Solanum lycopersicum: one gene and its partner. The protein of the gene in region 1 binds, or shares a complex with, the protein of each later gene. Links are inferred from orthologs where the notes say so. Each region holds a gene or a part of one and is shown in the gene's direction. Other genes may lie near its edges.

Region 1 (5,067 bases):
ATCACATTTATGTCTTTCAACTTTGGGTGTGCACAAGTAGACACTTAAACTTATATAAAGTTGAACAAATAGACACACATGTCCTACATGTCATTTTTTGTCCAACGTGGTGTCCTACATGTATTTTGCCATGTAGGACTCATGTGTTTTAAAAAAATTTGATAGTTAAAGTGTATGTTTGTGCATAATGAAAGTTGAAGGTCAAAGTTAAAATTTGAAGCCAAGTTTAGAATCCAATGTATGTATTATGCCAATAATATTTAAAGAATAATTTGTTTGTTTACAAAAATACCCTCCATCATTTAAAATAGAAAATAGTTTGAAGAACATCTATTATTCCACTCTCGAAATAACTTTTCATGATACTATTAATTATTATTATTCTTGCTATTATAATCAAATAATGGATAAGAATAATTAAACGATCTCTAATGATCGTTTTGGTAGTTGGTTAGAGTTATGCATTGATATCTATTAGTAATGTAGTGATTATTTATGAATTAGTCGATCCATTATTTTATGCAGATATGAGTTATTCGTGTATTAGTTATCCATAAGACATACATTAGATTATTAGAATTAATTATTCCACTTTCTATTATGCATTAAATAATAAATAGATTTCATCATAAGTTATACATGTATTAATTGTGCAGATTTCTTAACTGTCAACTAAACATTGTATTAATTTTGTACATGTATAATTTATTTTCTATGATTTTATCCACCTACTAAACATGTATAAGTTGTACAAAAATTAATATGAGTAACTTGTTTCTCATCCAGCTTCCAATCACTTATATACATGTAATTATTTTCATTATTTGTGTCTATGTAAACATAATTTGACATGAGATTGAAGTCTCAGTCTAATAGTTACAAGTAACAACTTTAACTTGCATGTAAATGCCAAGTCTAAAAACAATATGCGTACGAATATATGTTTTTCAGGTCATTAGAAACTTTTTATGTACTATCGAACAATAATTTGGTGAATATAAAATGGAGGTTATTTGAGTTAATAAGCTTTGATTATTTTTTTATTGTTGCATCTTTGTGGTTTATACTAGGTCTTACTCCAACTAAATAACTTATGAAACAATGCAGATAAGAAATTAATTGTGTCAACTTTGTACTATACAAGTTACATGAAAATTAATTGAGAAGTCATCCCTATATTTAATTACTTTATGGAGAATCGAAAAGGATCAAATTTGTTTTTGAACTATGCAATTAAAACAAATTTGTCATTCATTACTATGAAGGTCAAATATGTCCTTGTCGTTACTAAAATGGGCTAAATTTGCCCTCGTTACCCCTCCTATTCTATTTTACAAGCACGTAGTAATAAACAAAGATCTCAAAAGTTTATTTTTTAATGAAAAAACACCACACTTGGCTTCAAGTTGCTTGATCTTGCATTTGATGTTTGTGAACAAAACGACCAGATATGTTCAAATTTGACCTCAATTGGCAAGTTAACACTTTAACTTTGAGTATGCACATCTAGATACTTCGACTCATCTTTAGCGTCCAGCTTTGTAAGTAATCATCTAGACACCTCTAAAATTTACATGTCACATCAGCATCAAGTGTCCACGGAAAATAGAGGGGTTGTTAGTTGAGATCAAATTGAGTTCAATAGATATTTTTACTTAATAGTTGAGATCAAGTTTGAGTGTGCCTATTTATATCTTATGCCGATATTCTTTATATAATATTTGTATATAAACTAGACAAACGAGACTATTATATATTGTGATTTGTGATGGATGGGCCTTTAGTAGATGGATTAGTAATAATAATAATTGGACCTAATGTGAACCGAAAGCCCAAACTTGAAATACGAAAGCCTTCTTCTCCGAATCCTCTTCCCCTTTCTCTGTAAACAATCAATGGAGTCCAAACCCTCAAGCGGATTCGGACCCTCCAGTAGTCCTCTACTGTCTCTCTCCACCTTCGTCCACCAGCACTGCTCCCGACTCGGTGCTGAACTCGCTAACCGATTCGACGAAGCGAAACGGCTGAGTTCTAAAATCGCCGCCGATTTTATGCAGCAGCCGCTGCCAGCGGCGATAGGGAGGAGTTGTTCGTTGCCGTTGCATTCTTATCATCTATCTCTTCCGTTCGCTTCGGTGTCGCAGCGTCAAGAGAAGGTCGCTAAAAATACCGGTTTGAGCTCGGATTATGTTGCTAAGACATTAACTGGAACTTCTGTATACACAGTTAGCAATTCTAACAATGAATTCGTGCTCATTTCGGACCCGAATAGTGCGAAGTCAATCGGATTATTGTGCTTCCGTCAAGAGGACGCCGAGGCATTTCTTGCTCAGGTGAACTTCATTTTTTAAAATGAATTTATCGAATTTTTTCTCTATAGAAGAGAGTGAAAGGAGAGATGAACTCCTTTATCAAAGTAGGGTAGCAGGAAGGGGAAAAGATATGTATAAATTAGCCCAAAAGAGAAAACTAAGTTAAAGATGATTGCTTTAAAAGAAATTATTGGGTAATTATCATTGGAACATTGCCTTCAAAGGTCAAATTATTTATTTTTGGGATGTATTGAACCTGAATATAGTGGAATTGATACATAAGATAGCAGATACAGAAGACATAATGTGGACCTTATTAGTTTGCAATTGAGGCGTTGTTATAGAAGTTTTGATATACATGGAAGGCTTGTTTGTGGAGAAATGAACACGTGAAGATTTTCAGGTACGGTTGCGGAAGAAGGAAGTGAGAGGTGGAGCTAAGGTAGTTCCGTTGACACTTGATCAGGTGAATTTTTGTTTCCTTTTGCTAGGAATTTTTCTTTTAAGGATGTATCTGCTTTGGTGATTATTTTCTTCTTTCCTTTTAAAAGTTTGTACATTCATTTGAAAAGAATTGCAAACTTTAGGAGTGACATTAGATTACTCTATGGAGAAGGCCATTTTCTTGTTTTAAGGATTGAACTTTAGCAAAATTTTAGTACCATGAAAGTGTCTGGTAATAGATATGGTATTTGTGATGGACAGTTTTGTCTCTAGTGCTTATCAAGATTGGTTGGTGGAAAGTCAGAAGCTACTGATGATCGACTTGTGTGTATATGTACAATCTATTTCTTTGCATATATTGATAACTTCTTCTTGCAAGAATGGGTATAAACTTTGATGGTTATTGAATCGTCCCTTATTAGTTAAAGAAGTGTTGGATTCAAATACAGCAGAATGGAGATACCGATCCTAACTTGTTTAGATTGACACATAGTTGATTGATTGAATCAAAACAGAGCATGCATGGTATTTAGCATAAGCAATGGAGTCTTTTCAAACGCACCCCTTGAGATAAGGCTCGATTAGATTACCTGACCATCTCAGGTTAAGATTAATTTACTGAGCCATTTTCCTTTACCATTCCTTTTAGTGATTTCTTCTCTTTTACATCATTAAGATAAATTGTATGCATTATTGATACATTTTGTATCTCTTGTTCATCCATAAAAAAGGGGATCCTATCGTGCTCCTTTTGAGCCTCAGACGTCTGATCTGTCCCGTTTAATATATCTTCTTCTGCTATTAAATTAAAAAGAAAAAATTGAAGCTTAACTTAAGAATGAAAGACATTTTTGTCTCTATTTAACAGGTCCAGTGTACATTAAATAATCTACTGCAACTAGTTGCAGTTGTCTGTATGTGCAAGAATTTCTGTTTTTTGCTTTTCCATTTCTTCCTAAAGGTGTTGCCAGGCACTTGTCCCGTATTTTGAATAGTTACACGTCTTTCTTGTTGGTATCACTTTGCAGGTTTACATGTTGAAGGTTGAAGGAATCGCATTTCGTTTTTTGCCAGATCCTGTTCAAATTAAGAATGCAATGGAGGTAGTTACCCATGTTGGTCATCCTTAAGTTTTGTGTCTGGGATCCTTGTAATTTCCACTGAATGTAGTAGAATTGCACAAGGACGCCTGTTCAGTTGTGCAAGTGAAAGTTATACTGTATATGTATATTCATCTACCTGTGATAGTTTTACGTGAAAGTACACTGGCATGTAGCTTTAACTAATGACCAGATTCCAGAGGTGGTAGAATTGCTTGCAACCCATCAATTTTTGAGGTCCACTGACATACCCTTGTTTTTTCTTCTCTTTACTGTTAATTCAAATATTTCCAAAATGGAGGTCTTTTCGAGATTTGAACTTGGGTTACTGACATGCCTGGTATGTAGGCTCTTGCTCACTAGTCTAGTAAATGAAGCATAGATTATTAATGGCTTGACCTCCATTGCCACCCAACTTCTGTCTCCTCCTCCTGGAAATATCTATTTGGCTAAACATAATATTTCAATGCATGCTTATTAAAAAAATCTGTTCATCTCAACATTGTCTTTTCCTGTGACAGTTAAAAGCTTCTGATGTAAAGACTGGATTTGATGGAGTCCCTGTTTTCCAGGTAGCATATAAACTTTTTTGCCAACTGTATGCAAAAAAACTCTAACATTACATGCTCAGCCTGTGTATTTTTTGAATTATGAGCCTTCACTCACTGGAAAGCTTTTGCTAAATATTTTGTATATCAGAGAGTGGACTGCTGAATATGGTTAAACTCCGCTTAATTCTGTAGCTTTTTGTTCTTGTGCAGTCAGATCTCCTAGTTGTGAAAAAGAGAAACAGACGATACTGTCCAATATACTTTCGAAAGGTATGTTGGTTTTTAATATCTTGAACTGGAACTAGTCAGAAGAAACAAAAAATTAGATATAGTTATTATTCGTGATGGTTTTCATTGAATTCCTTTTCGGGTATACAGGAGGATATAGAAAAGGAGTTATCATCAAGGGCATTGAGAGGATCTAGTGTCTCTCAGCACATTATGGTATCATAATCACTTTTATCTTTCTGTTTTCTTTCTGATAGGGCGTGCAAATAGATTAAGAATGGTCAAACATGCTAAGAGGTGAATATATGATGTCTCTGAGAACTTACTTTTAGTAAGTGTTTTGGAGTAAATTTCATTCGCATTGATCTCTCTTTTATCAAGTGTAACATTGTCTGAATGCGTAGAGGATTTAAAAAATTGAATTTACGTGCT
Region 2 (3,389 bases), on another chromosome or scaffold:
TGGAAGATTAGGGGTGAAGCAATATATAGATAGCTCAGAATTGAACAGTAAAGACAATAGGAATGAATTGGATCCAGAATTTGTTAAGAGTGTTGATTTACCAAGTAGAAGAAAAAGTAAAAAGGTAAGATTTGATCCTGATTGTGTTGTAGCAATTTTTGAGCTTGGTATGGTATTTGAAAGTGTATACATAATTTTGTTCATTTCTTACTCTACTATATAAAGTCTCATTTTAAGATATTTCTATGCAGCTGGTACTTCAGGAGAAAAAATTATCAATTTGAGAGTTTATAAGGATGCAGCTCCAACAAATATTGATATTGGTTATAAGCCTCGAGGACTCAAGTGGAATGGTGGAGATGCTGTCACTGGTTCACAGTTGAAACAAATCACTTATTCAAGAAAAAACAAGCGTGGAACATCTAGTGCACCAAAGAATGCCTAATTTATGTAGAAAAATCACTTTTTGGTTGTGTAATTAGCAGCAGAAATTTGTATTGACTGCTTGAAACTTGAAGCTCACTAGAGCAAATTAATGGCATGAATGATCAATTTTTACTGCTTTTGAGGCATAAATTATCTACACTCCTTCAATTAAATCATTACAATAAAAACACAAGGCATTTACAATAGAAAAATCGATCAAAATTGTCCACAAAGAACTCTACAATCTACCATACATACTTTTATGAAGGAATCTAATTGAAGACAAATGAACCAACTAAGATCATTTTGTTACACAAATCCAAGTAGCCAATATCATCCCTACGATAATGCATATCATCCATATTTTTCTTGATCGATTCCTCTCCAATTCATATGTTTTGACTATTTTCGACAAACCCCATATCACCCTCCTAGCTTGAGCAGGCATTTCATCATCATACCATCGAAAATATCCACATCCACCTCGTGCCTACAAAATTAAAGAAAAAAATTGAATTATAAATAAGGTGATTCTTTACTATATTGGACAAAAAAAAGTGAATTTGATTTACCTTTGAAGTTTTGCAACAAAGGAATATACGTCCAGGATTGGATTGCGTCCATGAGATCTTCATTTTCACAACGTTCCCATATTGACATAGTACTTTCGCAGTTAAAGAAGAAGAAATCGATGAAGTAGATAAATTTGACATTGAAACTTGATGATTAAAAAGAAATCAATGAAAAAGAGATATAATATAATGAGCTAAAGAGGAGAAATAATGATGAAGAGAAACAAAAGAGGAGAAATAAGGGAAGAATGGGAGAAATTAGGATTAAAAGGGGGAAGAAAATCGTTGGTGGATGGTTCAAGATCCACATCAGCGCTTTTAAAGCGTCTGCACACGCTTAAAGGACGTGAGATCACGTTTGGCTCCACATTAGCCAAGAATATTTAAAAAGATCAAATTATAGGGGGTTAAAAGATTCAATAGGAATCTAGATTAGTTGAGGTAACTGGGAAAAACACGAACAACTTTAAAGACTTGCGTATGTATTTGACCCGTAGACATTTTTCCTCCAAAATGGATATGGAATTATGGATATTCAAATGGTATCAATGTAGCCCGACCCGCAATTCCATCAGGATTTTCAATTGACTGCTGACCTAATCCAATTTCCCCTTTTTCATTCTTTCTCCCCCCCAAAACAAATATCTTTGGCCATCCTCAACAATGGCCATCACCAATCTTTTATCCACCACCATTACACTCAAACACTCGCCATTTCTTCTACTGAAACCCTCAACAAAACTCAGAAACCCTAAAAGGCCAACAATTCGAGCTCAATCTAAGAACGACGACTCAGTAGATGGTCCAGATCGTTTAATCTCCGCCATAACTTACTTCTACCCTTTCTTTGATGGTGTTCAGTACGGTAAATATGTAATCACACAGTTTGCTCCAATACAAACACTTATTCAACCTTTAGTACCAGCTATAAGGGTTTTTAAGAGCTTTCCGCTTAACGGGTTGTTGGTTTTCTTTACACTCTACTTTATTGTTGTAAGAAATCCTAATTTTAGTAGATATGTCAGGTTCAACACTATGCAAGCTATTGTTCTTGATGTGCTTCTCATTTTTCCTGATTTGTTGGAGAGGAGTTTCAATCCAAGTGATGGGTTTGGGTTGGATTTGATGATGAGCTTTGATAGTACTGTGTTTTTGTTTCTTTTGGTATCTTTGGTTTATGGTACTTCGTCTTGCTTGTTGGGTCAGCTACCTAGATTGCCTATTGTTGCTGAAGCTGCTGATAGGCAAGTGCTATGAACTCGTAATTTTACTTGTTTATGAGGTTTCATCCTCTTTGTACACTTAATTATGTTTTGCTTTAGCTGACAATTAATATCTATTTCGTTCCGAAAGTAAATGTTTATGCTCTTTAGAGCCTTGTTCATGCATATCATTTTGCTGTTTCTTAATGTGGATATGTATATTCTTGTAATGGCATTTCGGTTTCTTTAATCAAGTAACTACTTTTTTTCTATGTATCTGCATTAACAAAAATATATAGAGGTATTTCTTTTTTATAACCGTAATGTCCTGGCGTACACCTCAACTATTTCATGGAATATCTTAACTGGAATTGTTCCAAGTGACTCTGCCCACTACAACTTAGGCAAATAGAAGATCTTATTGCCTCTGCATAGATTTGCACTTTCGTGTTGTGTAGTTTCGTTCCAGCTTCATGGACTTTGATGGCTTGCCATTGAGTGCCACAAAGGTGGTGATATTATCTACAAGTTCTGTCATTTTTTGATATGAAGATAGTTCAATCCCTATTTCTAGGTAACATGTTAGTTACATCACCATTCTTTTTTTTGGTTTTTGGATGAGGTAACATGTTACATCATCGGTATGTTGGTGTTTAAGGAAGAAATTCATGATCCTAGTAGCCAGTTGTATCATGATTTTAAGTAAGGGTCTCGTTTTGTATTATCTTGAAAAGGGCAAGTATGCAGAGATACACGGAAGTTAGGTATCAGGTTTTGATGTTATTCTTTGAGACAATTCGGATAATGTCCTCCACCCCAACCTAGAGCTTTCGCTAATTACAGAGACTTTGATGATTTACGTAAAGGTATTGGCATCTAGTATACACCTTCTTTATGTAAAATGCTAGTATGCCTCTCTGCCAGTACCTCTTCCATTTGTTGTATAGTAATTTTAAAAGTAGTTTACCCTTGGACAGAAAAACAATAAGCTAAAACTAGGACGGAAGAAATAATGCTCTTAATAGCTGCAGGTTTTATGAATCTGCATCTTTTTCTTATTTAGGAAACCTGGTCATCATATCAACCTTTAGATGGTAAATGTGTTGGGATGTTAAGATATTTTAGATGTTGATACTCAAACCCAAAAGGCAAATATTTGCTCCTTACTTGTAGGATATCCTTTTGTCCC

What was found. Proteins that work in one complex are often made in the same cells at the same time.
Region 2: protein TIC 22, chloroplastic (region 1) and protein TIC 20-v, chloroplastic share a complex: the UniProt entries of both Arabidopsis thaliana proteins name them as parts of the tic complex. The link is inferred for Solanum lycopersicum from reciprocal best matches to the Arabidopsis thaliana genes Tic22-IV and Tic20-V.

The regions. Positions count from the first base shown.
Region 1 is NC_090803.1:65,447,411-65,452,477, reverse strand, and holds the start of protein TIC 22, chloroplastic, read left to right. Parts: upstream 1-1,782; 5' UTR 1,783-1,895; coding exon 1,896-2,333; intron 2,334-2,715; coding exon 2,716-2,778; intron 2,779-3,784; coding exon 3,785-3,859; intron 3,860-4,377; coding exon 4,378-4,428; intron 4,429-4,617; coding exon 4,618-4,677; intron 4,678-4,785; coding exon 4,786-4,851; intron 4,852-5,067. UniProt on the Arabidopsis thaliana protein: Involved in protein precursor import into chloroplasts. Imported into the intermembrane space via the Toc translocon. May be involved in the import pathway used by proteins without a cleavable N-terminal pre-sequence.
Region 2 is NC_090811.1:6,212,280-6,215,668, forward strand, and holds protein TIC 20-v, chloroplastic, read left to right. Parts: upstream 1-1,585; 5' UTR 1,586-1,661; coding exon 1,662-2,255; 3' UTR 2,256-2,472; downstream 2,473-3,389. UniProt on the Arabidopsis thaliana protein: May be involved in protein precursor import into chloroplasts. Not redundant with TIC20-I, TIC20-II or TIC20-IV.